Linked DNA regions of Diceros bicornis minor. The protein of the gene in region 3 purifies or fractionates together with the protein of the main gene of each other region. This does not show direct contact. Links are inferred from orthologs where the notes say so. Each region holds a gene or a part of one and is shown on either strand. Other genes may lie near its edges. The genes, in order: XPC, CAMK2D and WDR76.

Region 1 (10,393 bases), on a different chromosome or scaffold from region 3:
GAAATGTGCCAACATTTGGAAGATCTGCATAACTCAGTGAACTAATATTTTCCAAATGACCAGTGCTTGATGTTACAAAATCATGCACATGTAAAAGATCCATTCGAAGTGCAAGGTAGACCAAAAAATTTGCATGTAACAGAAGTATGAAAAGTTCACTGATGTGGTTTCAGATTCCACACTGCAACTAACCTTTAAGAAACTACCACTTGTTGAGGGGCTAGCCCTGTGGCATAGTGGTTAACTTCGGCATACTCCACTTTGGTGGCCCGGGTTCACGGGTTCAGATCCCAGGCACGGACCTACACCACTCCTCAGCCATGCTGAGGCAGCAACCCATTTATAAAGTGCAGAAAGACTGGCACAGATGTTAGCTCAGGGCTAATCTTCCTCAGCAAAAAAAAAAAAAAAAAGAAAGAAAGAAAAAAAAGAAACTACCACTTGTTGAGTTTGGGTGTAGCATCAAAGGAGAGTATCCACAAAAATTACTCCTCTATTTTCCAACTGCCCATGTGTGTGAGGTCAGATTTTCTTCACCTACCACATATCACAACAGGTTAAATGCAGAAAAAAGGATGTGAGAATCTAGATGTCATCAATTAAGCTAGGCATTAAAGAGACTGGCAAAAATGTAAAACAAAGACACTTCTCACTAAATTATTTTTAGAAAATATATTGTTCATTAAAATGTTACTTATATTAACATAAGTTTATTACTATTTTTTAATGAGTTTATATTTTTAAGTTTCTCAGTTTTAGTTTCTATTAAGTACTGATAGATCAAATCCACATCAAACAAAAGAACACTGTCCAGTGTTACTGTTATATACAAGCACATACAGGCATCTTACACTGTCATATCTCATTGAATCCTAGTAACCCTATAAGGTAAGTGGTAGTATTCCTGCTTACCAATGTGGAAATTAAGTCTGCAAAGTTAATTCCCTTGCCTAACATACCCCAGGGAGGAAGTGGTCAAGCCAGTCCTGGAAACCAGGTCTGTCTGACCCCAAAGCCTTTGTTTTCAATTGCTACACTCTGAGTCCATGAGTAGCTGTCAAAACATGACAGGCTTTCCATAAACAGGTGTGAAGCTGTAGGATGTTGAGAACAATTGACATTTTAAAAGCGATGAGGAGAATTGTATGACTTACTTTATATATCTCTTCATATGTTTCTTCATCAATTTCTATAGTAGTCACAGTTTCTTCCACATCTCCCAATATCATATTTAAATGTTGATCATAAGCCTGAAGTGGGAGGATGAAGGACCAAGAAATTTAATAATCAAATTAAGAAACAATGAACAGGACTTACAATATGCAAATGGCTCAATTACAAGTAACCACAATACTTATATCACAAACTTTCACATATAAATAAAAAATAATCCTGCTGTAACTAATATACTATTTCTTCACAAATCATTCCAACAATAACTTAATTGACCTGATAAAAATACAACACTGTTTACGTGGCCAAAGATGAATTTACTCAAAATAACTTGAAATTATTTTTACAATGTCCACCCTACTTGTTATGCAGGGCAGTCACATCACTTATAATATTTAGTTAGAAAAACAGCAAATTCATCACTTTGAGTAGACTTCCTTCAATTCCATCTGTAACAATGCAACAAGAAAGACACAGTAAAGGAGGTAAAATTCTTCAGCGGCTAAGATGATGGCATAAGACACTGTCATTAAACCCTCCCTGTCTTAAACTAAACACCACAAGGTAAAGTAAGTAGAGCAACACCCCGCCCATTTATAACCTAGCTAGAACTGTGCTTGGCACCTGTGGGCTCAAATCAATAAATGTCGCAACTCAGATATTCAGGGATGTGATCATTCCAAACGCCAAAGCTCATGCATTCTACTAAAAGGTGAACCTTCGGGGGCCTTGTTCCCAACCCACTTACACTTACTTCTAACAAAGTGTTAAATGGTACAGCAGCTCACATCACAATGAAAGTAGCCAACCAGCCACGTGGGAAACTGCTAGGAAGAGCACACTGACAAGAGTGAAAATCTACAGATGAGGGCCAGAAAACAAACAGAAGGTTGGGGGCCACTCAGCACAGAGGCAATCGAGTCTCTGCAGGGAGCTGAAGAAGCCTCCACGAGTTAGGCAACATGTCTGTCCCGGGGTGTCTCTCCATGTGCCAGTGGCCCACGTGATTAAGGGCAATTCTATTTTTCTTGGCAAAGGTGTTGCTATTCCACTTCCTGGGGTTCCTCTTCCCTTAAGGCGAGCTGGATATTAAGACTCTTGCCTCCCTAGGTCCCTACTTCCTTTCAAAGCTCCACAGGCGGTTCTTGACCTTTAGGTTTTATGGCAGGTAGAATCATAGTACTTAAGAATGGGGCTGAAGTCAGACTGCCTAGGTTTATATTCTGGCCCTCCCTTTACTGGCTGTGTCACTTTAAGCGAGTAACTTCACCTTTCTGAGCCTGATCTTCTTCAACTGCAAAACAGGGATCATTAGTATCTACCCATACAGGGTTGTTACAAAAATGAAATACGATATTACATACAAAACATTTAGAGTAATAGTACCTGGCATATAATTAAAGCTCGACAAATATTAGATATTTTTAATCACTTTAGGGTAGAATGAAAGTAATAAAAACGACACTCAGCAAAGTAACAGGCCATCAAGAAGAGACAAACCTTCAGTACACTCTCTTTATGAATAAATGGGACCATTTCAAGGGACCTATCTTGTAGAAATAGTTGCAGATATACACAAAGAAATATGTATAAGAATTCTTACTGTGGCATTGTTTATAGTAGCAAGAGATGGAAAACAATCTAAATATCACTACTACCAATACAGAATTCCATGCAGTCATTAAAAAGAATAAAGGAGATTTATATGTACTCATGATCAATGATTTCCAAGAAAGAGTAAGTGAAAAAGAAAAGTGCTGAAAAATATGTATAGCAAGATCCCATTTACTTTTTTTAGAGGTGGTGTATATAGTACAAATACATGCATATGGACACATTTATATGTAGATATGTGTAAATATACAGAAAAGATCTGAAAGACTATACTGGACTTTTAACAGTGGTTACCAATAGAAATAAATGGGATTTCATCTTTTACTCTATATATTTCTGTGCCTTTTTTTTTTTTTTTTTTTGGTGAGGAAGATCTGCCCTGAGCTAACATCTGCCAATCCTCCTCTTTTTGCTAAGGAAGACTGGCCCTGGGCTAACATCCATGCCCATGTTCCTCCACTTTATATGGGACACCGCCACAGCATGGCTTAACATGTCAGTGTGCACCGGCGATCAGAACCAGCGAACCCCGGGCCACCGCAGCAGAGCATGTGCACTTAACTGCTTGCGCCACCGGGCCGGCCCCTCTGTGCCTCTTTTCCACAACAAAACACAAATTTATGTATATGTCAGTAATTTAAAAAACATTTAAATAAGAATGGAGGACAAACAAATGTTATTTAAAAATAAACAGAAGTGAAAAAATGAAAGAAATGAATATGTTCTTTAATAAACATTTCTGTTAAGAGAAAACACGTTAAAAATATGAATAAATTATAGCTGTATTTGGCTTGTAGAAATATGGGTGACTTTCTACCTCCATCTCATCTACACACTAAATACTCTTCCACAGTGGACAGTTTTTACATTTCAAGCGGGTGAGGGTAGGGAGGGATGAAGAGGAAATAATCTGATTTCCAGGTAATTTAATAAATTTACTTACATGTAATCTACCACCACGTAATTTAATAAATTTACTTACATGTAATCTGCCTCGAAGCTCTCTGTCATTTCTCATTTTCACATAAATTCGCTCATCCAGGCTGAGCCTGATGAGATCCAGGGGCTCTTCTACGGTGTTGGTAGTTTGTTGCTGATAAAAGAAACAGGCTTATGATACAGTACTAGAAAGAGCGTAGTGTTTGAATCATTGCTATGCTGTGACTGTGGGCAAGTTACTTAACCTCTCTATGCCTCAGTCTCTTATCTGTAAACTGTGGATGACAATAATGCCTACCTAACACTGCTGTTGTGAGCCTTAAATGACATATATGAAGCCTTAGAACAAAGCCTGGCACATAGTAAGTGTTATATAAACGAGAGCCAAAACATACATCCACAGGAAGGAGTTACACAGCAAAGTTATCACGGCTGTACTTTGTTCCCTCAAAATCCAAACTGCCTGACCCAATTTCAGGGTATAGTGAGTCACTCTCAGGGACTTTAGCCCTGTCTCAAATATCATTTAGTAATTTGAAAAACATTCACTTAATGACTACCACACACTAGTCAGAACGCCAAGCAGTGAGGAAGGTTTGAGGGAGACCACGAGGTCAGTACAGGGCAGGTTGAGTCTAGGGTGCTGAGTGGCTGGTAAGATGCATATATTTAGCAGGAAGTAGAGAATACTGGTTGAAAGTACTAGCTTTGGAGTCAGGCAGTGTGAGCTCAACTACTGACTCTGACACTTATATGAATTGAGATAAAAAATCATGCCACCTCTAATTCTCAGGTTCCTTGTGTGCAAAATGAAGAAGCCATAATTTTCCTTTCATGATTCTTGTGAGGAATAAATGAGCTAATGTATTTAATTAACGTATTTAAAACAGTACCTGGCAAACAGAAAGTACTTATAAATGGTTCAGGTTATTACTATTAAAGAACTGTTGGAAACAGGTCTCAGAAAGATCAGGGCTAGGATGACTTGGGGTCATCCATACAGAAGGGAGAAGCCAGGAGAGTTGACGAGATTACTGAGCTTCTTCAGGGAGTACATGAGGCCAGGGGAGGAAAGTGACCCAACACTGCAGGCTCTACAGCCTTAAAAGGTTAGATGAGAAAAAAAGCAATCCTGACCTCAATTGGGCCCCACCCCAGTTCAACAGGCGTTTGTTAATGGGCAGCTAACCAACTACTGGATTACAATGACACAGCAGTCAGTCCCTGCTCATTTTAGTGGGGAGAGGCAAATAAATAGACAATTATAATATTGTAAGAATATACTCATGACAGAGCCCTACGGCTCCTTTAGCCTCAGTCTGGGATGCCCACGGTCCACACTTTTCATCCTGTAGCTTTAAATACTGCCTTTTCAAAGAGGCCTCCCTAATCATTCAATTCATTCACTCAATAAGTATTCGAATGTTTCCAGCACTGTTCTAAAACCTGAGAACAGGGGCCTGCCAAGTGGTGCAAGCGGTTAAGTGCACGCGCTCTGCTGCAGCGGCCCGGGGTTCGCCGGTTCGGATCCCGGGCGCGCACTGATGCACTGCTTGTCAGGCCATGCTGCGGCGGCGTCCCATACAAAGCGGAGGAATATGAGTATGGATGTTAGCCCAGGGCCAGTCTTCCTCAGCAAGAAAAGAGGAGGATTGGCAGACGTCAGCACAGGGCTAATCTCCTCACACACACACACAAAAAAGTAAAACCTGAGAACAGAATAGTGAATAAAACAAAATTCTTGCTCTTAAGGAACTCACATTTTAGCGGAGGGAGAGAGACATCAAACAAAGACACATACACTTAATATGAACAGATAACACGCTATGAAGAAAAATAAAGCAGACTGGGCCTAATGCTATTTTATGTAGGTGGCCAGAGAAGCCCTCTTCAATGAGGTGAGGTTTCACTAGAAAGCTGAAGAAGCTGTGGCCTGATCCACAAAGACACCTGAGGAAGAGCATTTTGGGAAGAAGGAAGAGCAGGTGAGAAAGCCTGTGGGACCATCAGTTACTCTCTACACCAGTTCCTTGTTTGTGTCCTCCATACCACATCACAGTGCCTACATAACGCATATATTTATGTTTACCTTTCATCTATCCTCCCCCAGAATATAAGCCCAAGTGGGGACAAGGGTCACGCATGTCAATGCCGGCGTCCTTGGGGCTTAGAACGGTGTCTAAGCAAACGCTGATGTTCACTACGTATTTGCTGAATGAGTAATAACGGTTGCGCTCGATAACGATAACTCCTTACTATCACGCTTTGTATCAGAATCCCGACAGCTCCGCGAGGCAAGCAGGAGTAATTATTCCCATTCTACAGATAAAGGTCAGAATGAAGACAAAGGGAGCGACGAACGGGAGGAATAACTAGTTTTCAGGCGGGCTTCGAACTAGAAAAGATCTCAGGGCTTGAAGCAAAAGTCGCAGGGGGCGCGGTTAGCAACGGGCCGATTAAGGCCATGGTGACCTGGAAAGAGGCGGCACGATCGGCCACCTTCCCGTGAGCTTCGAGAAAGCAACCGTGGTACGCAAAGCCGAGCAGGGCCAGGGCTGGGAGAGGAGAAGCCGCTCCGGAGCGAGCTCCCTAGAAGACACTCACCTGGTCCACGTCGTCCGCCATGTTTCAAACCCTGCGCCCTTCCTTGCCTCTCGCGAGAGCACGCGAGCTCCCTCCTGTCTCCGGAAACGCGAGGACGCAATGCACCGGAAGTGCAAAGAAATCTGTTTTGCACCTCCTTGCTTCCCGCTGTTCGCCTTGGTCTTTTGGGGCTGGGGCGGAGCTTCCTCTGGGGGCGGAGGCTTGCCCTGTGAGGAAGGGGCGTGGCTACGCCTGGCGCAGCCAGGGGCAGCTTCCCGCGGGGTGGTGCGTCACGCGAGCAGCTAGTGTTGCCCGGGCAGCATGGCTCGAAAGCGCGCAGCTGGCGGGGGCCCGCGGCGACGCGGGCTGCGGGGCCAGAAAGCCAAAGGGAAGAGCGTGGCCCGGCGTGAGGAGAAGGAGGCGGGTGAGAGCGAGGCTGAGCCGGGCTTAGAGGGGGATGCCCGAGGGCGGGAGACAGGCCCGGGTCGGGGAGCGGGGAGGCCGGCTCCTGGAGGTGGGGGGCCGAGGAGACCGCGTTACCGGGGCCAAGGGAGGCAGGCGCCGCCCAGGTCCTCCCCACGAGGAGTGATGCGCCCTCAGCGGCTCCCCTGGAGCCCGACCCCATGGGAGCTGCCCTGCGTAGCCTCTTTCCTGCTCCCTGTTGCCCACAGGACAAAGTCCGGCCTCCTGGCGGATGCCGAGGGCTGAACAGGGGAAAGGCAGTGCAGTTATTTTGTGTCCCCAGAAGACGGATGGACCAGGACGTAGAGTGCAGTAGTGTGCTGACTCCCAGAATATCTTCAGCTAAGTCTCACCCCAGAGTTCCAGATTCGGATCCAACCTGACTGACTCCTCCACGTGGATATCCAATAGACGTCTTATATTTGTCATGGGCAAAGCAAAACTCTTGATTTTTTCCCCTGTAAGCCTGTTCCTTCCCCGCCTTTTCCCATCTCAGTAAATGATGCCTTCACCTGCTTGTAAAAGCAGACCCCTGGTTTTCCTTACACGCACACATCCTGTCAGTCAGCGAGTCCTGTCAGTCAAACCTCTGAACTAGATCTCCACTCTCTCCACTTCTCTTTATTTCCGTGGCCACAGCCTTTGTCCAAGCTACTGTCACTTCTCAGTTGAAGGACTGCGGTCACCTCTTTACTGGTCTCCCTACTTCTTTTCATTCCTCTGCAGTAGTTCTCCACTCAGCAGCCCAAACCATCTTTAAAAAAAAAAAATCAGATCATGCCATGCTCCTACTTCAAACCCTTTGTGGCTTCCCGTTGCTCTTGGTGTGAAATCCAAATTCCTCACCATGGATTACAAGACCCTACATGATATGGCTGCTGCTACGGCTCCTGTTGTCTCCTACCACTCTTCTTTGCCAGATACTCTCATTGGTGGCCTCCTTTCTGTTCCTCAAACATGCCATGTTATTTCTCACCTCAAGCCTTTGCCTTTGATGTTCCTTCTGCTTAGAATGTTCTTCATGGCTTTACTGTGCCTGATTTCTTCTATTCCTTTAGGTGTCAATTCAGACACTCCTTGAGCGTCCTTTCTAAGGTGGTCTTCCCGGGATACTCCCTATCACACAGGCCCTCAACGCCCCTGTCACCGTCTGTAATGATCTTCTTAATTTATTTGCTTCCTTTTGATTGCCTGTCTTACCAGACTTTAAGCTTCATGAAAGCATGTCTTATTTTTTGCAGTATCTTATCTTGTCACTCTCCCCATATACTAAGTGCTCAATAAATATTTTAAATAATTGCAAAGTGCATGCTGTGGAAAGGATTTCTGGGCTTCCTGAGATAACTGGGTAGAAGGTTAGGTAACCAGCAAGGACTCAGACACTAGATTCAACAGTTCTGTGATTCTGTATATAAGTTCGTCGTCCATTAGGAAATAGTCAAATGGTAACAATTTTTAAACTTAGAAGGTGATTTACCTCACAATGAGTTCCATTTTATTCATTCATTTACTCATTCAGATAACATTTTCTGAGTACCTACTGTGTGCTGTACATGGGCTAGGTGACATGGGGGAGAGATTTCATGGAGGAGCTTAGAATATAGTAGTGTTGACATTTACAAAAAATATCCAAGGCAGAGTACGCAGGGTCTGATATTGGAGAAGGTGCAAGGCTTTGTGGCTTCTGAAGGAATAATCAAGTTTGACTGGAGAGACTGAGGTGTGCTCTCTGGAGGAGTTATGTGTGATCTGGGATTTAGGATGGGTAATATTCAGCAAATGGTCGTGAGAGGGGGTTGTATTCTAGTCAGAGGGAATGCGTTCTGAATATGTGGCAATTCAAAAATTAAAAGCATTCCTCCCAGCTAAAACACTTCACTTGGGCACCAGTTTGGTGTAGCTCCAATGCTTGGTAGTTATATGCACTTAGGTAAATTATTTTGGACAAATAACACAGCTTTTCTGAACCTTGTCTGTGAACATACTACTATCTTGCAGGGTGGTTGTGAGTTTTCAGTAAGAGCATATAAGGCTCCTGGCACGGTCCATGTTACATAATCATTCGGGTTAGCTCGTAACAATTCAGCCTAAATATAGTTAAGGATGCCCCCAAGCTTCACTGAAACTGCCAGCCAGCGGAGCTAGCAGTAAGTTCCCAAGGCAGCTTCCGGGAAGAGTTGCAATCTTTGCTGTGGTTGAGGGGAGGAGCAGGCGTGGTTTGGGCTGCAGGTGACACTGATTTGGTGATCATTGAGTGTAAGTTCTAGCAGCACCTCGGGGCATGCAAATGAAGGTGATGCGTGGCTGCTTTCAGCAGTTAGGGACAAAGAAAACATTTCTTCCACATTATTTCCTTGTTTCTATTAGGGCACCTCTAGTTTCTTCATATTTCTTCTCTGTGTTAATGCCTTCATTGATGTAATTCATTAATTCCTTCAACAAATATTTATTGAGCGCCCACTGTTCCCAGGCACTGTTCTAGGTACTGAAGTTATGGTAGTGAACAGAACAGGCAAGGTCCCTGCTCTCATGATGCTTATAATCTTTGGGGAGGAGTAGGTAGGGCAGACAATAAGACGTTAAAAAATAAATTCACATGGTGATAAGAGCTATGAAGAAAATAAAACAGTTGCTGTAATAAAATGGGCATGGGGGTGGGGAAGAAGCAGCTAAGTCAGAATCAGTCGTCAGGGAAGGCCTCTGCAAGGAGGTGACATTTTGAGCCAATTACTGAATGCCCCGATGGAGCCATTCTTAGGAAGTTGTGGGGGAAAAGGCAGAGGGAACAGTAAGTTTCAAGAGTTTCGGGGGGGGGGGTGAGCTTCGCCATTTGGCTGGACACAGTGAGTGAGGGGGCGAGTGGTAGGAATTGAGGTGAGAGAGGTTGTTGGGGCCCTTAGCTTGGAGAACAAGCTAAGGAGTATGTATCTTATTCTAAGTGCTGTGAGATGCCACTGGAAGGTTTAAGCAGGTATTCTTATTAAATCTCAATTGATGACCAAGCCAGCCACAGTGGTAATTCCTGTCCTGCTGAAATAACCATGTTGAGCTCAGGGAGGCTGGTTAGACAGATGAGATAACTCCAGACCTTTGAGTCCTGGAAAATAGCCTCTGGATTCTCTAGGACCAAAAAAACACAGCAAAGGATAAAGGAAAAAACAAAGTCATCCATATTTCTACCATCCAGAAATAACCACCACTAAACAATGGTATATTTCCTTCTAGTCTGTGTTTTTTTATGCAGTAGAAACTCCCTGTAAAAATAACTTTGCCTGCCTAATATTTTATCATATATCATTTTTCTTTGTCTAAAAGATGACTGAATTATATTTCATCGTGTGACTGTACCATAATTAATGATTATCTCATGATTGGTTATTCACATTAGTTTTTAAACTTTTGGATATTATGAATATGAATGATTTTTTTTGATTCACAGTTTTTTGTTTCCAATTCCCCCCCCTTTAACTCCTCTACCTCTCTCTTCAAAGCACAGAAATATACAGCTGTGCCTTATAACCAATCAGATCAGTTTGGTGAGGAAGAAACAGTGTCTGTGAAGTATCCTCCCACTTGGGTTTTTAGATTAGTAAAAATGAAGTATTAGCATCTTTGCTTATTA
Region 2 (9,570 bases), on a different chromosome or scaffold from region 3:
CATTAGAATCATGAAATCCAGAAGGGGCCAGGGGCCTGTGGGTGTAGATTGTTCTTTAAAGCAGAGTATGAGCAGATGAGGAACACAGGCCAGGCAGCAGGGAGAGGGAATTCCTTCAGGCTAGAGAAGACATATCTTCCATAGATCGGAGGCAGAAGAAAGTCAAATAAAAACTATGTGAGTAGAGACAAGTGTATTTGCCAGTCCGATGCAGGGAGTATGAATTAAGGTGGATGAAAAGGGCTGACTAAGACCAAGGAAATTAGTAAAAGTGAAGCACAAGACTGATTTGTCTTGAGAGAAAATTTGCAGCCACCAAAAGATTCAGGATAGGTTCTGTAACGCCTCGGAAGAAGTGATACCCCACTCTTGCCAAAAGTACCTAGCACACAGGAAGAAGTCCTACAAGCACTCAAAGAATTTGGCTACACACTTTCATTTTTCTTTTTTTTTTTTTTTTAACACTAAAATGTCACTTACAGTTTAGCAACTCCTTTTCGCCGTTAAAAACCTTCCTGTGTAGTAGAGGGAAGAGGAACATAATCCAGTATATCTAGCTTCCCATTAGTTCCCATGCCATGAATCAATGGTGCTGGTTACTTTAGCATATACATCTTTCTCAGAATCACAGTAAAATCAGATGAAGGAAATCACAACAAAACCCCATTCAAACAAATAAACTGAAATGCAAACCTAAACCTAACGTACTTGTTAAAAGTAGAATTTGCAACAAATGGGGAAAAAAACACAGCAGAAACCAAACACAATGACCCCAGGATACCAGGAAGCACCACATTTTAGAAGACAAATTAAATGAGGAAAACTAATCCTAATGCAATTTCTCCTCTCATTAGTTAAAATAAACCAGGTCACTGAAATGGGCTTACACTATGGCATTTTGTTCATTTTAATTGCATTTTTATTTCATCAAACCATAAATTCCCATGGAAATACCTCAGCCACGTGCTCATGATAATTGAAATGCCTAACATTTCAGTATAAGTACTTTTGCACGAGTTCCACAAAATACAAAGAATGCAGTGAGGGCCCTCCAAGTTTTCTGCTTATGTCAACAGCTATTTTATGAGTATGAATTATCTTCGTGGTTATAAAGCATGTGTAAAATACATTACACGAGTCTGTGAGAAGCCTTACTGCAGAAGACCAAGTAAACGTCTGAACTGCACACAGACAACAGCAAAATCGAGCTGAACTTCCTAGAATATAGCAATCATAAGACTTTCCTCCCAAAGCCATTACTGTTAAATATACCTTGATGAATTAAGTTCAAGTGTAACTACATTGAAATATATGATTCAACTGAGCTATGACCTATTTTTCCTCTCAAAAGCAAAAGGGAATAATGACAGTGGTGAGACTTACATTTTTCCATTCCAGGGTTTTTCTGCAAGTTATTTCACAGTACAGCTAAAGGCAAAATGCACTTAGTGACATTTATTTGCTTTAAATATAGTTAGTTATGCTACAGCTCATGGGACAGAAAGAATTTTAATAACAATTTATTAAATAATAACAATTATATTTGCTCATTTTTGTTTAAACTGTACAGACCAAGAGGCATTCAGGAAGGAAATAATCTCAATATGTAATATGATAACTAAGTCTACAATTCGATTATAACTAAATGATATATTTACATACAACAAAACCAACACTCAACATGACAAATACAAAATTAACATATATGTGGTTGGAAATACCCACCCCTAGCAGAAAGCTTTTTGGTGTTGATAATTTTGGCAGCATATTCTTGTCCAGTAGGGATTTTCATACATCTTCTCACCACTGAGAATGCCCCCCTGAAAACCAATAATTAGCAGGTCATCAGTATAATCAGCTCTGATAGTCTACTAAAAATTACAACAATCTGAGCATTTTTTTGACTTTAGTGAACAAATATCAGTGCACTACAGTAATAGCCAAAAAATGAAGAATTCTTCCTGGAAACCTAGACCTTCTTTAATGTTGAAGAGTAAAAGTAAATTTTATTTAATTGGGAGCACACACTATTAATCAACAAAATGAAAGGAACTGCCAATTATGACGGCTCTTGTTTGCACACGAAATTTGAAAACATTCTACAATTCACACTCACACAGCACCAAATGCTCTGAGACAAAACCCTGCAAAGAGCAGAGGTGAGAAGGAGCAGCAAAAAATCTGCTGCCTATTTATTTTGGTAAGGAAAAAAATTAATGTGGCTCCAAGTTAAGTAAATATGGCGATTGTTTTCATTAAAATATAAATCTTGGGAACATTTGTGTGGTTTAACACATCCTGGTAGGGTGATTTCTCTGTGCCCTGTTTTGGGTTGGGGGAGGGGAGAGATTTGAATTAAGCTGCTCTTCCGACATATTCTCCATGTTTTAACAGCAAAGAACATATAAATATATAAGGATGTAATTTTCACTACATTTCTTTAATTCAATTGTACAAAACAACAACATACACATAAGCGCACCCCTTTCACAAGTAATAGTCGAAACTAGCGATAGAGGAATTGGGTTTGAAGCTACATAAACCAACATTCACGGCTCGGTCCCTAGGTCCCTTTGCACAGGTCCTCAGCAGGTCTCCTGTCCCCTTCCTTAACATCTCCAAGTAGTTCTGCCAGTCGGGTGTAGGAGGTCGTTTTTCACAACACTAGGCTACCTTTGGGGAGCTCTCTCCCGGTCTCCAGAGGGCTTTTCCGCTGTCTGCAGAAATAAATCCTCGCAGAGAATGCGAAGATGCGCCCGTAAATCCTACGAAGGATGATGACGAGCGAGTAATCTAACGTAAAGAATGATAGTGGATATGGGGCAGGGGGTCGGGTTCCTTTGGGTGGCCCTTTTCCTGGACAGAACAACTACTGGATGCGAAACAGACTCTAAGCCAAGTTGAACTTTCGGCATCAATAAACATGGCACCGTCTGTGGCAGCGAGTTCTCATCCGTACGTGGGTCCTACCGCCGACACGCCGGCTAACCAGGAGGCATCTCTATTTACAGAAAACATGATCTATGTGCATTTCACATGGGTTCTTGTTTCCTCTCCACACACACGCTCGCACACTTCTCAGCGTGACAGCTACAACTGCAGGGCTCGTAAATCCACTAAGTCTCTAGGGCAAAGGGTGGGGGAGCGGGAGAAGGTGGGCTGAGGATTATCGGAACGGGCTACAGCCGTGGTGGAGGGTCTGTCCCCTCCCCTTACTCTGACAGCACCTTCCTCCGAGCTGACACACCAGGGGCCCTCCTCCCTCTCCTCTGCCGCCCAAACTCCCTCGCCCCACGCGGGAGGCCGGTGGGTCGGGGGTAACGCGACCCGCCCTCTGCTGGAAAGGGGCCGTGCGGGTGCCCGGCAAAGGCGCTTACTTTCCGAGCTCCTCGAAGAGCTGATACTCGTCCGTGAACCTGGTGCACGTTGTAGTCGAGGCCATCTCGGTCCGGGCTGTGCCCCTGGCCGGGCGCGCGGCGGACGAGACGCGAGCGGGCGCGCGGCTTCCCCGGGACTGGCCCCGCGGCGCTGTCACCCAGGGCCGCCCGCAGTTTCCTCGACCGAAAGTAGCTCGCCGGCGAGGGAGTGTGCGCAGGGGCGGGGCGGAGGGGAGATGACCAGAACGGGTGGCGTGGGGTCTCCTCCCCGCAGTCCGCCGAGCCGCCGCCTCCTCCGGGCCTCGCTTCCTTCTGCTCCTCTGCACGCTCCACCCGCCCCCTTTCCAGCCCCTCTCCCCAGATGCAGGGGGCCGAGCGCTCAAGAAGAGGGGCTCGGGGCGAGCAGTCGCGAAACGCTCCGCACCGGGGCAGGAGGGGCAGGGCGGAGGGGAGGGCGCCCGGGGGGCGGAGGCCGCGGAGCCGGGAGCCGACGGCGCGAGCCCAGCTGCAGCTGTCAGCGGGCGCGGGCGCGGGGCGCGCCGGGGCTCGGCCGAGCGTGCGCGCCCGGGGCCGGCCGCCCTCCCGCGGGCTCCTCGGCGGCCTCGCGCTCCCCACGAGCCCGCGCCGCTGCGAGCCCGCGCGGCCAGGAAAGCGCGCTCGGCTCGGGCGAAGCCTCGTCTGCGTCCCCGTGCCTCCGCCTCCTCCTCGTCGCCGGTCCCACACCTCCCTCTAGCGACTGCAACCGTGTCCCCTCGTGGATCTCCCTCCTCCCTGGGTCTCACACAGGCGCACAGCCGTCTAGGGAGAGACCAGGTGGGTGGAGGAGGATGTGCGGGGGAGAAGCCTGGAGACGCTTTAGGTGAATGAGGCGAGACGTCAAAATTACCCAGTTAAACCCGCAGTGAGGTCCCTGCCTGAATCTGGGGCTGACTTAGCGGGAAGATGCGTGCTAACTCGTGGACTGCCGGGGGCCCCGGCCCTGCGGTGGGCGCCGGGCACGAGGGCGGCCCGAGCCGCCATGCCCGGCCGGGGGGGCGAGGGGCGCAACCCCTGCCCCTCGGCGCCGCTCCGCCGTCGACACGGCGGGGCCGGATGTGGGCACCTGCCCGCCTCCAGAAGGGTCCCAGCCTCCCCACGCGGCAGAGGCCGCGCCGCCCCCGCCCCGGCCCCGGCGCCGACCCCTCCCTCCCTCGCAGCCCCTTCAGGAGGGGCGACGCCCGCCGTGCGCCACGTTTCACTTCTGATATGACTGCCACCCGCTCTCCCCCGCCCCCGCCGTGTGCTGGGTTGGCTCGCCCAGACTCTGGCAATCCCCAAAGGCCTTTGCTGGGGCCATGAACGTTAGCAGCATCAAAGCAACACCTCCGCCACCCAGCCACACCTTCCCCTCCGAGTAACTCTGCCGTAACCTCGGTGAGTTCTGATAGTAAGGCGTCTTCTCGCGAGATTTCCTGCTCCGGCGGCGGGGGCGGGGCAGTGGGAAGGTTGGGTATCGGTCACGGGACCTGGTGGGGCTGACGTCACTCGCATCACACGAACATGTCTAGCCTGTTTCACTTTGCAAAGAGAGAAGAAAAAGGAGAGGTCGCGTGTGCTCTGCTTGCATGCTCAACGCTCTGGCCAGTTAGTGGCACATGAGTATACTCCGTAAATGGCTCTCTGAAAACCCACTCAACAGTTGGAGAATACGTCCTACTCATTCACATATCTGGCACTGTTTACAGTAAATACGAGAAAAAATTTTGCATTACATTTAAAATAGATAAATTGCTGATTGCTAAAACAACCCCCGGGCCTGCCTTCCAGTCCTACGTCTTTAATAAACTATGCAATTGCAGATTAGAGGCAGACCAAAAACAGAAACCTTTTGAACTGTCGATTCCAAATTACTGCCTTTTGTTTTACAGCAGGGACCCTAAAAACTTTTTGCAATTCTATTGCTAATTTGTTCATCGTTACCGTTGCATCACGGACTCAAAATTTCACAGCTGGGAGATAAACGATAACTTGGAGATACAGGGATTTTAAGATGTAAAGGAGTTGTTGCTTGTTCCCAGAGGCTGCTATTAATTAGTAAATTACCTTGTCAACGGTCACACGTAATCCTAACTCCCTTATTTCCTGATCTGGGGAATGCTATTCTGCCAGTATAGCTTTTACCAAAGTTCTCAAAATGTTCACGATTTTTAACGCTTTTTATAACAAAAATGACATTTGTACATATTTTGACTCCCAACCATAAAAGGAAAGATAACTTTGTGTAAAATGTAGTGATACGAGAAAAGATGATACCAAAAACTATAAAAAGGAAAGAAATAAGGTGTCTAAATATTAATAATTGGGCTATAAAATTTAAAAAAAAAACAATTTGGTCTAGGCTATAAGATTTTTAATATATATCTTAAATATTTAGCAATATGGTTCCAAGTTATAATGCAATAATTTAATCTTCTCTGAATCTAAAAATGAAATAGAAAAGTAAAATTAAAACAATAAATAAAGGTAATATAAAATTTTACAACTCTGGGAAAGAAAATTGTTCTTTAAATATTCAAGTAATGAGGCCTACATAATGACAGTATTTATCTCAGTTATTTAAACTACTGATAATTGTAAATGGGTTAATGATAATTGTGTGATACAATAAAGGAAACATAACTGAGTTTTAATATTGATGTATTATATTACACAATAAATGAGTACTTAAGCAAATACTGCTTAATCTATATTCTTGGACTAATTAAAATATTTGTCTTATTTAAACAAATATTGACAGTTCTAAAGTTTGGACCTCCTTAAAACAGTAATCCTTCTAAAGTTACACAGAAATTCCATTTGGATTATTATCTCTTGCCTCCTTCCTGGTCTCCTCCTTCTGCCCTTTGCCCGCCTTCATTCTGGTCTCAGCATAGCAGCCAGAATTATCCTCTTAAAACCTCAGTCAGAACAAATCATGCCTTTGCTCAAAACCTTCTGAAGTCTTCCCATCTCAATTGGACCAAAAACCAAAATTCTAAAACTGACTTACAACGCCCCAAGGGATCTGCCCTCCATCTCCGCTCCTTTAGCCTTGTACCCCAGTTTGTGCTCTGGCTCCTTCTGCTGCAGCCAGTTGGCCTCTGCTGTTCCTGGAGCGTGACTGGAACGCTCCTGGTTAGGGACTTTGCATTTGCTCTTCCCTCCTTCCAGAATGTTCATCTCTTAGTTACCCTCGACCTCATTTCTTCACCTCCTTCCAATGTTTTCTCAAATATCACCTTATCAGTGTGGCCTTCCCTGGCCACCCTATCAATTACTGCACCTCTTTCTGACATGATTTCTATTCCCATCTCCTGCTTTATTTTTCCCCTTAATACCTATTACCATCTAGTATACTATAAATTTTATTTTTTTCCTTGTTAATTGTTTATACTTCCAAACTAGAATATAGGCTCCCAAAGGCATGAATTATTGTCTGTTTTGTTTGCTGCTCTATTTCCAGCAACTAGAATAGTGCCTGGCACATAATAGCTGCTCAATGAATGGGCAAATTAATTATTTTGGGGTTTAGATTATCTAATCACAATTTTCATATTAAAGTTGGTAGTTTATAATTAACATACCAGTAAGACTTCTTACTGTAAAGGTAGTCATTTTCAATTAAGATGGTCACAGTATCCTGTGGGAGACCAAAATTGGCCACCCTGAAATATATCTCTTTACCTTGATTATTTTCTCTGACAGACATTTGACCTCCCCCCACTAACTGCCTAAAGGAATTTAACTCTGGGTATGGACAGACTGGCAGGGTCCTCACTAAGCCCATTCTTAACAAAGGTCTGTTTACCAAATATTTACATTTGTAAAGGTATCTCCCTCTGTGTAGTGGGAAGAGGGGGAGGAGATGACCTTATCTGTGAAAACTCTTATCAGGACAGATGGAGAAGACTTAAATCTACATACTCTTTTTTTGTGTGTGTGAGGAAGATCAACCCTGTGCTAACGTCTGCCAATCCTCCTCTTTTCTTGCAGAGGAAGACGGGCCCTGGGCTAACATCCATGCCCATCTTCCTCCACTTTATATGGAATGCCACCACAGCATGGCTTGCCAAGCAGTGTGTCGGTGCACGCCCGGGATCTGAACCGGCAAACCCTGGGCCACCACAGCTGAGCGCGCACACTTAACTGCTTGCGCCACGGGGCTGGCCCCTACATACTCTTGATTACTATAATTCCTTTCTCTCTGGCCATATTCTCTATAGGTGGCCCCGCAAAGCATTGTCTGACAAACATTTACATTTCTCTCTTCATGTAAATTGTCTTCTTCCCCTCTGAAATCCCAAAACACCACCCACCCGCAACTTCCTCCTTTGTCTTTAGCTGAAGATAGTATTTAAGACAAGAATCTCTGCTATTGTGTTGAGAAACTCAGTTTCCCTGGTTTCTCCCATGTATATATGTTATTAAACTTGGTATTATTTTCTCCTGCTAACCTGTCTTTTAGTTGTTTGGCCAGCCAGAAGAACCTTAAGGGAAAGGGCAGAGGGGGATTCTCCCTCTTCCCCGACAATCCCATGATTAAAAGTGCTTATGCAGGGCCGACCCCATGGCTTAGCGGTTAAGTGCACGCACTCCGCTACTGGCGGCCCGGGTTCGGATCCCGGGCGCACATCGACGCACCGCTTCTCCAGCCTTGCTGAGGCAGCGTCCCACATACAGCAACTAGAAGGATGTGCAACTATAACATACAACTATCTACTGGGGCTTTGGGGGAAAAAAAAAGGAGGAAGATTGGCAATAGATGTTAGCTCAGAGCCGGTCTTCGTCAGCAAAAAGGAGGATTAGCATGGATGTTAGCTCAGGGCTGATCTTCCTCACAAAAAAAAAAAAAAAGTGTTTATGCAGAGAAATGGATTTTAAAAATATGTTAACAATTGACATCAAGGGAAAAGAATCTAGTATTAATTTTCTTACCATTGAAGTCCATAAAGGAAGAAGGAATTTCTGTTTTTTAGATACATTGGCCTTACTAAATTTTACATTGTAATAAAAGACAGATGCTAACAGTTTCCAATAACTAGATCTCATTATGAAGACACAAGTCAATGTAAGGAAATGAAAAATGTGGCTTTAAAATGAGTTTTTGAAGAGCAAAATGGAAAAAAATTTCTAAACAGTAGCATATTTGGTTTCTCAATTGATTTAGATTAATCAGACAAAACTCAAGACCAGCCAGCGTATTACTTCCAGCTCCTAACTTTCTACTTTGCTAAGATGGAAGCAAAGCATTCATAATGTTATCCTCTTTTGAAATTTACCTTTTAATACTGGTAAGCCAATAACAGCAAAGGAGGAGGGGTGAGGGGTGGGGGGGCGGGGATGCTGGGAGGGTTGAATAGTAGTTGTAAGCAGAGCCCTCTCACTACCTAGATTGCTAGACTTCAAATGAAATTGTGTTAGTGCCAAGAGCAGGATGAAATCTTGCTCTAAATGTACCCCATCCCTTTTTTGTGATAGCATGAACTGACAAATAGTAGCAGAGACATATAAGACAGACTAAAAATGATCACTATATACAATACAACGTCAGAACCAAAGACAGAAAGTATCTTCTTTCTCTCTCTCCTTTGGTCACTTGCCATTGAAACCTGCACAACTTCAGTAGTCCCACTAGGAAGAGAGAAGTTTCCAGTACTTAAGTGAACAAAGCAGATATTGACAATCATTGATTTCCCTTGCTACAAAGTTACAAGACAAGAAAACAAGAAGAGATGATGCTATCTCCATAGCTCCCCAAAGTGCAGAATCCATCAGTAATAAGTAAATTTCTGTGAGAATTTCAGCAGGGTCTTCATTGTAGCCACTCTTCACTGCAGATTTAGAGGCAAGAAGAACAAAGCAACTTGCTGTTGCTTTTTCCAGTTAGCCTTCCTAACGTAGGATAACTTAACCACATAGAGCCAGACACAAATACAGTCTAGTAGTGAGCGGATTCTGGTAGTAATCTATTCACCAGACCATCCATTCGTGCAAGATGAATTTACAGAGGAACAAATGAACTAGTATTCGTAAAACAAAAGCTAACAACAGACAAGGTTTTCTTTGTTTCATCAGGTGCTGAAAGAATTAATTTTTTCCTAAAAATAAAAATAAATGTGTAAATACATAAGAAAATAAGCAATATCCACACAGTGAAGAAGTAGCTCATTTCCCA
Region 3 (9,557 bases):
GCTGAGCATTTATGACTCTGCTCGACTATCTCCAGTACTCACTTCCTCATTTCTTTTTTTTTTTTAAAGATTTTATTTATTTATTTTCTTTCCCCCAAAGCCCCAGTAGATAGTTGTATGTCACAGCTGCACATCCTTCTAGTTGCTGTATGTGGGACGCGGCCTCAGCATGGCCAGAGAAGCAGTGCGGCGGCGTGCGCCTGGGATCCGAACCCGGGCCGCCAGCAGCGCAGCGCGCGCACTTAACCACTAAGCCACGGGGCCGGCCCCCACTTCCTCATTTCTAATTTCTGACCCTACTTCCTCAGATCAAACTAAAATCTGCTTTATATTAGCCAAATATACTCAGAACTTACAGTCTAAGAGGCCAAAGAGATCATCTAATCCAGTGGTTCTCAAAGAGCAGTCCTGGACCAACAGCATCAGTGTCTCCAGGAAACCATGTTAGACAGGCAAATTCTATACCCCACTCCAAAACTTCTGAATCAGAAAGTCTGGTGGTGGAGCCCTGCAATGGAGTTTTAACAAGCCCTCCAGGTAATTCTAATACAAGCTAAAGTTTGAGAACCACTGATCTTATCCAATTCCCTCACCGTAGAGGTGACTAGCTTAAAGGCACAAGGTTTCTTAGAAGTGGCCATGCCTAAAACCTAGGCTTCCAATGCATTTATGACTTACCACACACTGTGCCACCACAGGTGCTAATCCTTACCTCTGGGACAATAAAGCATAAACTGAATTCCTATTTCATAATACCACCACCTCAATTATCCTATCTCCCTTTCCCTACCATCATTTTCTGTTCCCCTAGTTCCATCAACCTTTTTGTCATGTGGTAGGGTTTTATCTTGTCTTGCATAAAATTTGTCACTTTAAATGAAGTACAACACTCCTGGTAGGCAATCGAAGCCAAAGGAGTTAGATGCCTAATTCCCTAAACTGATTCTATTATTTTAAACAGAACTAATAAGTGTTTCTCGTGTATCTTCTCTACTCCATCATTTGTCTCCTTTTTGTATTTAATGGAAATATTATTCAGCACATCAATGCAATCAATTAATGATGATTTTCCTACCCTGACATCAAGGGTCACTCAAATGCCATATGTCCCACAGGCCAACTTCTGGTATATTGTGCATAAATACGTAAAGGTAAGCAAGATACCATAAAGTATGCGTAAACTCAAAAATATATGCAATAAACCAAGAGGAAGAAAAAGGGAAGCAGAGTGAAAATTAAGTTAATCCTTTCCTTGACAAATCAAAACCAAGAGCAAAATTAACTCAACAAAGTTATCTGTTAAACATTTAAAAAATTTTTCAATTAAACATAAATTAGATAAAACAATCTGCTTGAGCTAGAGAGACCTCTGATAACCTTCACTTACCAGAACTTCAAATTTTAAACTAAGAAAAATTTGAATAAGCTGGTATTTAAATTCTTACCAGGCCTGGTGTGGTATCTTCATCACTGTCTCCATCCTGACTGCTTTCCATATCAACACTGAGAATCACTGTATCTGAAGTGCTCTTGTGTCCTTGCTTGTTACTTTCAGTATGAACATCTAAGGATGATTTTTGCAGAGTGGATTCTGCCTTGGAAGATGTGGCTTCCATCTTTGGAGTTAAAATTCTTCTGCAAGTTTTCTTTATTTCAATCTTCTTACATTTCTTACACGCCACTTCATTGTTAGAATTCTTATCTAAGAGGGATTTGGGGCACTTAAGTTGGTCTGGTTTGTAATTACTGAGTGAAAAGGGGACAAGACACACCTTAGCTGTTTTTCCTAAAACTGTAGTCTGTACTGGCCTTGGAGATACAAAATCAATGTTTTGGTTTTCTTTATATTCATTCACCTGTTCAGGTCAATAAAGGAAAATGGAGAGTGTTAGAATCCCAGATCCTATGTCTTTTCTTACAGATCTGTGTAAATAAATCTCATTCCTATTTCATAATAACAACATAAATCCAAACTGATAGCCTGTAAGGAAACTTTTTTCCTCCAAAACCTAGATACTTAATTCATTAACCTGAATAGAATTATTTATTATACTGGGCACATTTCTTGCCCATATGAGTCTGCCAGACCAATAATAATAATGACTACAATTTGTATCTAAGGTGACTCTACCCCAACTGTCAGCTTCTGAGTAAATGGAATTGTTTCAAGAGTAGGAAGCTGACACTAACTGCTGCAAAAGCAAATGCAGAGTCCCTGATCCCATCCTGCCACTATTTCTGGGGTTACTGACAAGAACCTTCCTCAATGCCGCAGCCTACTCTCACAGAGGAAACCAGGGCAGGGATCCCCGCTTATCTTTTGAAGCAACACCCCGAAAAACTCTTTAAGCTGAGGGATGCCCCAAGCGGCGGGAAATCGTTTTGGAGTGAGGAGGTGCCGGGTGCCAAGTCCTGGTGCCCTCCCGGGCCTGTGCCCGGAAGATCCCTCTCGAAGACTGAGTCAGGAGCACACCCGAAAGCGACAAGCCCTTTCTCACCTTCACCTGGAGTCGCTGTCTGGAGCCAGCCTTCTCAGCCACCGCGCGCGACCCGGACATCTTTCCGCCGCTTAACAGCTGGCGTCTTCCCGCCAAGATTGCGGCGGGAGGCGGGGGTGGGAGGGAGTGGGAGGGGCGGAGCCCGGGCGGCGCCGGCGGGCGCTCAGATCCCAGCTGGCCGGGGGGGAGGGGCGACACGGGCGTTACCGTCGTCCCTTAAGGAGCCAAGCCTACCAGCCTCACCCCCAACTCAAATTCTTGAGGGACGCGATGGGACCGAATCGACATTTTTACCTTGGATGCCGGTGATTTTGATGTTGCTGACGCCAGTATCTCACTTTGAAAAACACTGGCGCTTCTGCTGAGGATAAGCCACCTTGCCTTACAACGTGAGGCTGGAAAAGATTCAGACGCACTTAGATGCCGGATAGAGAGCAAAGGAAATCGCAATCAACATGCAGCCCTTACCTCGGCCCCCTGGTTCCTTATACCACCACCAGGAAATTAGGCCCCATGGCTACCACATTATCTTATTCCTAGGAAGGGAAGTTTTTTTTAGTTTTTTTTCAAGAGCTGATAACTTAAGCTAGTTTAAATTTCACCTGATCATCTGTCCACCAGTTAACTAAGATCCTAATGAGGACCTTACAAAGCCCAAAGGCTAGGGAAAAGTTGTGAATCAAATAATTTTTGTATCACAAAGTAACATAAGATTTTAGTGCACTGTATTTCTTATAGTCGCAGCGATATTAAATTTTTTTTTCTATTCTCTGGGTTGCTGTGAGCCAAAACAATTGCCTTCCCATCACACTCCCTCTGGACAGCATAGTTTTGGAGCTGATAAATTCATAATATAAATTTCTATCTACTTTATTTTTAAGGTCCTTTTCTTTCTAGCCCAAAACTGCTCCCTTGGTTGGTTATCTGAGTCCTCCACTGTTCCTTTTATTTCTTCTGCCAGCCTAGGCTCAAGTTGAGAACACAAGTGAAATAATTTGAGAACTAATCCTATTAACAGCACCTTCAAGGCCCTACTTGATCTGGTACCTGCCAAACTTTCACCACTCCTTGACTCAAAAATTACTGATAAAATCACACTTTTCATGGTGTCTGATATATACGCTATTTCTGGACTTCAAGACTTTGCTCATGCTGTCCCTTCCCTCCCAACCATAGCAGTTTTAAAATCCCTTCTACAGTGAAATGTGTTCTGACTTCTAATTAGCCAATTTTTTTTATATAACCGAGCTAGTAATTGCGATTGCTTCTATTATGATTCTATAAGCCCTTGAAGACTTCCTAAATTAAATTAAAGCTTCTTGAGGATACGAGCCTTTTAACAATATTCGTTACTGCTTACAGAGAGCTAAGCACAGTTAACACAGCAAGTACTTAATAATTACTCAAAGACTTATATACAAACACTTCCCAGCCAGGAATATATTTTAAAAGGTGGTCTCCAGAAGCGGAAAGAACCAGAAAGCCTAAAAGTAGAATGTTCGGATTTCAGGCGTTGACTCAGGCCCCCTGGGGGATTTTTTTTCTTTCTTTCTTTCTTTCTTTCTTTTTTGCCACTGGCCTAAATCACCGCGACCTGCCCTCGCGTGACCAAAAAGTACCGCACCAAAACCCACTCAGCCTCATCAGCTAAATTAATCAGACACTATTAGCAGGATTTCTATTCCGATTAAACTCTAATTCTGAGCTTTCTACAGTCTGGACAAACTGCCCTTCACTATCTCCTCAGTGTCTTATTCATCACTATCCCATTTTCCTCGGCTTCAAACCAAGCTAACAAGCGAAACCTTTCATTCGGACCTTCCTCGCCGCAGGGTCTTAACCGCAAAGCCCAACCGAAGCAATTTCCCGCCACAACCGACGTCCAAATATGTACTTCCAGACTGAGGACGCTAGGGCAGCCTATGAACATGCGCAGTAACAGACTCGGTGTTCTAGCGGTAGTCGCCCAGAGGTCCTCCACAATCCCACAATCCTCTGGTCGCATATTTCCGGTTTTTCTAGCCCAGCCGTAAGTGGCGTTTCTATCAGTCCCGCAGCCGTGTCTAGCGGCTCTAGGCTGGGAGGTGTTTTCTGTTCGTTGACGTTGAAGCTGTTCGCTGTTTGGAATCAGTAAAGTTTCGGGAGTCACCGCTGCTGTCGTCAACATGTCGGTCCCAAGCGCACTCATGAAACAACCGCCCATTCAGTCTACGGCTGGGGCCGTCCCGGTTCGCAATGAGAAAGGTACTGTGCTGAGCCGTTTTCCAGTCGGGTCTTGCCTCTTCCTTCCTCAGCGTACTCCAAACCTACCCCGGGCCGACCACCCCAACCCCACCGACCCTTAAGACCCTGCCCCCTATTTCTTCGACTTTCCCCGTCACACTCGCACCCGATCACGTTGCCTAGGGTAAAGAAAACCCACTTCCATCTCATCTTGTTCCTATAGCCTGTCTGCCCTCACCTACAGCAAGCACCTATCTTCCCTTGGCCTCCACCAATTCGTTAGACTAACATATATAGTGAATGCCTGTTGTTTGCAGGGATTTGTGCGGGATACAGTCCCTCTTTTTTTTTATCCATAGCAGTCTGTTTATGCTGCTTTTATAACTCATCGTTATAATTATTTATGTATCTGTCTCTCGTACATCATAAGCTCATAACCTCCTTGAGGCAGGAACTATGTCTTATTAAACTTTTTATCCCTGTCAGCCAAGGCAGTGACTGTATTTATTAAATTGAATACAAAGTTGTGTAGGACAGTCCCCCTAACCTTAAGGAACTCGTATTCTAATAGATGTGAGACATGCAAAAAGAGGCACATTCTAAACAGTGTACAGTCTTTCACACCTGTAATACCTGTCACTAGGTGATATAAACCAAATACTGTGGGAGGGCAGAGGAGGAATAATCTCTTCAGATTGGGGTAATCAAGGAAAGCTTGAAAGAAAGGTGGCATTTAAGTTGATCCTTAAAGGACAGATAGGATTCCAATGAGTGCAGATGGAAGAAGGAACACCGTTTCTGTTTGAGGAGTCAGAATAAAGAGTCAGGATTTTTTCATTAAGGGTTTTGGAAAATAATAACAGTTCTTACTTTTGTGTTTTTTGAATATACTGAACCCATCCTTGTGCAGCTTGCCTTTTTTTTTTCTTTTAACTCAGCATGGCGTTTGAGAAGTATCCTTTGGATACATATGGATCCAGTTCATTCAGTTTAATTGCTTATAAATTCCATTGTATAATTAAACCACAGTTTATTCCCTACTGAGGGACAGTTGTGTTGTTTTTTCTCCTATTACAAACATGCTGCAATTGTCATTCTTAAATGTGTCTCTTTAGTGCACTTGTATAAGAATTTCTCTAGGGTAGACTCCTAGAAGTTCATCTTCAATTTGTTGCCAGTTGCTCTCCACAGTGGATTGTAAGAGCATTAGGAGTTTTTATTTCTCCATGTGTTTATCCACACCCTTGGTTATATCAGATTTTTTAATTTTTGCCCAGTCTAATGAGTGTGTAACGATATCTCATTATTTTAATTTACATTTCCCTGATTTCTAGTGGGACTAGGCATCTTGTTCGTGCGTTTATCCACTCTCTGGGTTTTCTCTTCTATGAATTACCTGTTTCTGTCATTTACCTGTTTTCTATTTGTTTCGTTTTTTTTTTTTTTTTTTTTTTTTTTTTTTTGTGAGGAGATCAGCCCTGAGCTAACATCCGCCAATTCTCCTCTTTTTTTTTGCTGAGGAAGACGGCCCTGGGCTAACATCTGTGCCTATCTTCCTCCACTTTATATGGGACGCCGCCACAGCATGGCTTACCAAGCAGTGCGTCGGTGCGCGCCCGGGATCCGAACCAGCGAACCCCGGGCCGCCGCAGCGGAGCGCGCGCACTTAACCGCTTGCGCCACCGGGCCGGCCCCTTTGTTTCGTTTTTATACATCCTAAATCTGTAATATCTATTTCCCCAGGTTTTTTGGCTTGTTTTTTAACTTTAGTTATGGAGTCTTCTGTTACACAGGCATTTTTAGTTTAGTGTTATCACATTTATCAATTTTATCTTTTATGGTGTGTGCTGTTTTGTATACTGTTTAAGAAGTCCTTCCCTACACTGAGATCATAGACATTCAGTTTTCTATCGTCTGAATGTTTGTATATACTAAGTAGGATTGAATACACAATTGTGCAAGACAGACTAAGTTAAGGAGCTTACAGTCCAGTAGGGATGTAAATGTTTAAGATAGGTTTTTCACACTTCAGCCTTTAATCTATCTGGAATTTTTTGTGTGTATGGTGTCAGTTAGAGATCTAATTTTACCTTATTATCTTAGAGTTAGCCAGTTGTTCCTACTACTCCATTGTTTGACTAGCCTATCCATTCTCCATTGCTTTTTTTTTTTTTAAGATTTTATTTATTTCTTTATTTTCCCCCCAAAGCCCCAGTAGATAGTTGTATGTCGTAGCTGCACATCCTTCTAGTTGCTGTATGTGGGACGCGGCCTCAGCATGGCCAGAGAAGCGGTGTGTCGCTGCGCACCCGGGATCCGAACCCGGGCCGCCAGCAGCGGAGCGTGCGCACTTAACCGCTAAGCCACCAGGCCGGCCCTCCATTGCTTTTTAATGTCACTTCTGTAATATAGCAAGTTCTCATATAGGTTGTTTCTCTGGTCTCTACTTTGTTCCATTGGTCTCTATGTACCCCGAGTCAATGACATATTGTTTTAATTCCTGTGAATTTAAATAAGCCTTGCAATCTGATACAAAAACCCTCCCCCCCACCTCACATTCTTATTCTTTTTTTTGTTACAACTTTATTTTTTTAGAGCAGTTTTAGGTTCACAGCAAAATCGAAGGGAAGGTACAGAGATTTCCCATATACTCCCTACCCCCATACATGCATAGCCTCCCCTATTATCAACATCCCCCACCAGAGTGATACATTTGTTACAATTAATGAACCTACATTAACACATCATAATCACCCAAAGTCCATAGATTACATTAAGAATCACTCTTGGTGGTGTACATTCTGTGGGTTTGGACAAATATATAATGACATATATCTATCATTATGGTATCATACACAGTATTCTCACTGCTCTAAAAATTATCTGTGCTCTACCTATTCATCCCCCTCACCCCCCACCCAACCCCTGGCAACCACTCATCTTTTTACTGTCTCCATAGTTTTGCCTTTTCCAGAATGTCATGTATTTGCAATCATACAGTATGTACCCTTTTCAGATTGGCTTCTTTCACTTAGTAATATGCATTTAAAGTTCCTCCATGTCTTTTCGTGCCTTGCTAGCTCATTTCTTTTTAGTGCTGAATAATATTCCATCATCTGGACGTACCACAGTTTATTTATCCATTCACCTAGTGAAGGACATCTTGGTTGCTTCCAAGTTTTGGGAGTTATGAGCAAAGCTGCAATAAATATCAGTGTGCAGGTGTTTGTGTGGACATAAGTTTTCAACTCCTTTGGGTAGATACCAAGGAGCATGATTGCTGGATTGTATGGTAAGAGTATGCTTAGTTTTGTAAGAAACCACCAAACTATCTTCCCAAGTTGCTGTACCATTTTGCATTCCTACCAGCAGTGAATGACGGTTCCTGTTGCTCCACAACCTCATCAGCATTTTGTGTCGTCAGAGCTCTGGATTTTGGCCGTTCTGATAGCTGTGTAGTGGTATCTCATTGTTGTTTTAATTGACATTTCCGTGATTACATAGGATGTGGAGCATCTTTTCATGTGCTTATTTGCCATCTGTATATCTTCTTTGGTGAGGTGTTTAAGGTCTTTGGCCTCACTTTGTTCTTCAGACTTGTCTTGGCTTTTTGGCCTCCTTCCATATGATTTTAGAATCAGCCTAGGGACAACTTTTTATGGAATTGCATTAAAATTATAGATCATACATTTATTAACTCAGGTGTAGGTGCCATCTTCTCATCCTTGAACATGATATATTTCTCAATTTATTTAGATCTTTTATATCTTTCAATAAAATTATATGTTTTTCCTCCTGAAAGCCTTATACATCATTTGTTGAATTTATTTCTTGGTATCTTATAGATTAGTTGCTATTGTAAATGGTATTTTTAAACTGTATTTGCTAATTATATGTAGCTAATGTACAGGTACACTTATTTTTATCTAGCATTCTTCCTGAATTGTTTTTTTTAGTTTGTCTGTTGGTTATCTTGTATTTTCTACATAGATAATCATATAGTAGCAAATTATGGCAGTTTCTTCCTTTTCAATCTTTACCTTTTACCTCTTTTTCTTTTCTTTTTTTTTTTTTTTTATTTTTACTTTATTTTTTTCCCCCAAAGCCCCAATAGATAGTTGTACATCATAGTTTCACATCCTTCTAGTTGCTGTACGCGGGACACGGCCTCAGCATGGCCGGAGAAGCGGTGCGTCAGTGCGCGCCCGGGATCCGAACCCCGGCCGCCAGCAGCGGAGCGTGGGCACCCAACCACTAAGCCACGGGGCCGGCCCCCCTCTTTTTCTTTTCTTATTGCCCTAATTAGAACCATAATAAAATGTTGACTAGAGGGTATGATAGGGACAAGATAAGTATGCCCACTGTTTTTGTTGTTGTTGTTTTTATTTTTTTTCTTGAGGTAACATTGGTTTATAACATTATATAAATTTCAGGTGTACATCATTATATTTTGATTTCTATGTAGATTACATCATGTTCACCACCCAAAGACTGATTGTCATCCGTCACTGTACACATCTGCCCAGTCACCCCTTTTGCCCTCCTCCCTCTCCTCTTCCCCTCTGGTAACCGCCAGTCTAATCTCTGTATCTGCATGTTTGGTTGTTGTTGTTTTTGTCTTCTTCTATTTATGAGTGAGATCATACAGTGTTTGACTTTCTCCCTCTGACTTACTTCACTTAGCATAATACTCTCAAGGTCCATCCATGTTTTTGCAAATGGCAAGATTTCATCTTTTTTATGGCTGAGTAGTATTCCATTGTGTATATATACCACATCTTTATCCGTTCGTCCCTTGATGGGCACTTAGGTTGTCTCCAAGTCTTGGCTATTGTG

Evidence for each region.
Region 1: the proteins of WDR76 (region 3) and XPC purify together in Homo sapiens (affinity purification with mass spectrometry; 3 studies listed by BioGRID and IntAct, with this or other methods). This does not show direct contact. The link is inferred for Diceros bicornis minor from reciprocal best matches to the Homo sapiens genes WDR76 and XPC.
Region 2: the proteins of WDR76 (region 3) and CAMK2D purify together in Homo sapiens (affinity purification with mass spectrometry; 3 studies listed by BioGRID and IntAct, counting the BioPlex papers as one, with this or other methods). This does not show direct contact. The link is inferred for Diceros bicornis minor from reciprocal best matches to the Homo sapiens genes WDR76 and CAMK2D.

The regions. Positions count from the first base shown.
Region 1 is NC_080741.1:88,651,961-88,662,353, forward strand, and holds the start of XPC (DNA repair protein complementing XP-C cells), read left to right. Parts: upstream 1-6,599; 5' UTR 6,600-6,630; coding exon 6,631-6,733; intron 6,734-10,393. Other genes in the region: U6 snRNA-associated Sm-like protein LSm3, read right to left, coding at 1,155-1,250, 3,770-3,880, 6,331-6,351. UniProt on the Homo sapiens protein: Involved in global genome nucleotide excision repair (GG-NER) by acting as damage sensing and DNA-binding factor component of the XPC complex. Has only a low DNA repair activity by itself which is stimulated by RAD23B and RAD23A.
Region 2 is NC_080750.1:8,577,443-8,587,012, forward strand, and holds the start of CAMK2D (calcium/calmodulin-dependent protein kinase type II subunit delta), read right to left. Parts: upstream 3,772-9,570; 5' UTR 3,443-3,771; coding exon 3,378-3,442; intron 1,821-3,377; coding exon 1,726-1,820; intron 1-1,725. UniProt on the Homo sapiens protein: Calcium/calmodulin-dependent protein kinase involved in the regulation of Ca(2+) homeostatis and excitation-contraction coupling (ECC) in heart by targeting ion channels, transporters and accessory proteins involved in Ca(2+) influx into the myocyte, Ca(2+) release from the sarcoplasmic reticulum (SR), SR Ca(2+) uptake and Na(+) and K(+) channel transport.
Region 3 is NC_080744.1:41,110,229-41,119,785, reverse strand, and holds the start of WDR76 (WD repeat-containing protein 76), read right to left. Parts: upstream 4,381-9,557; 5' UTR 4,317-4,380; intron 2,894-4,316; 5' UTR 2,793-2,893; intron 2,673-2,792; 5' UTR 2,559-2,672; coding exon 2,499-2,558; intron 1,857-2,498; coding exon 1,446-1,856; intron 1-1,445. Other genes in the region: MFAP1 (microfibrillar-associated protein 1), read left to right, coding at 4,664-4,742. UniProt on the Homo sapiens protein: Specifically binds 5-hydroxymethylcytosine (5hmC), suggesting that it acts as a specific reader of 5hmC.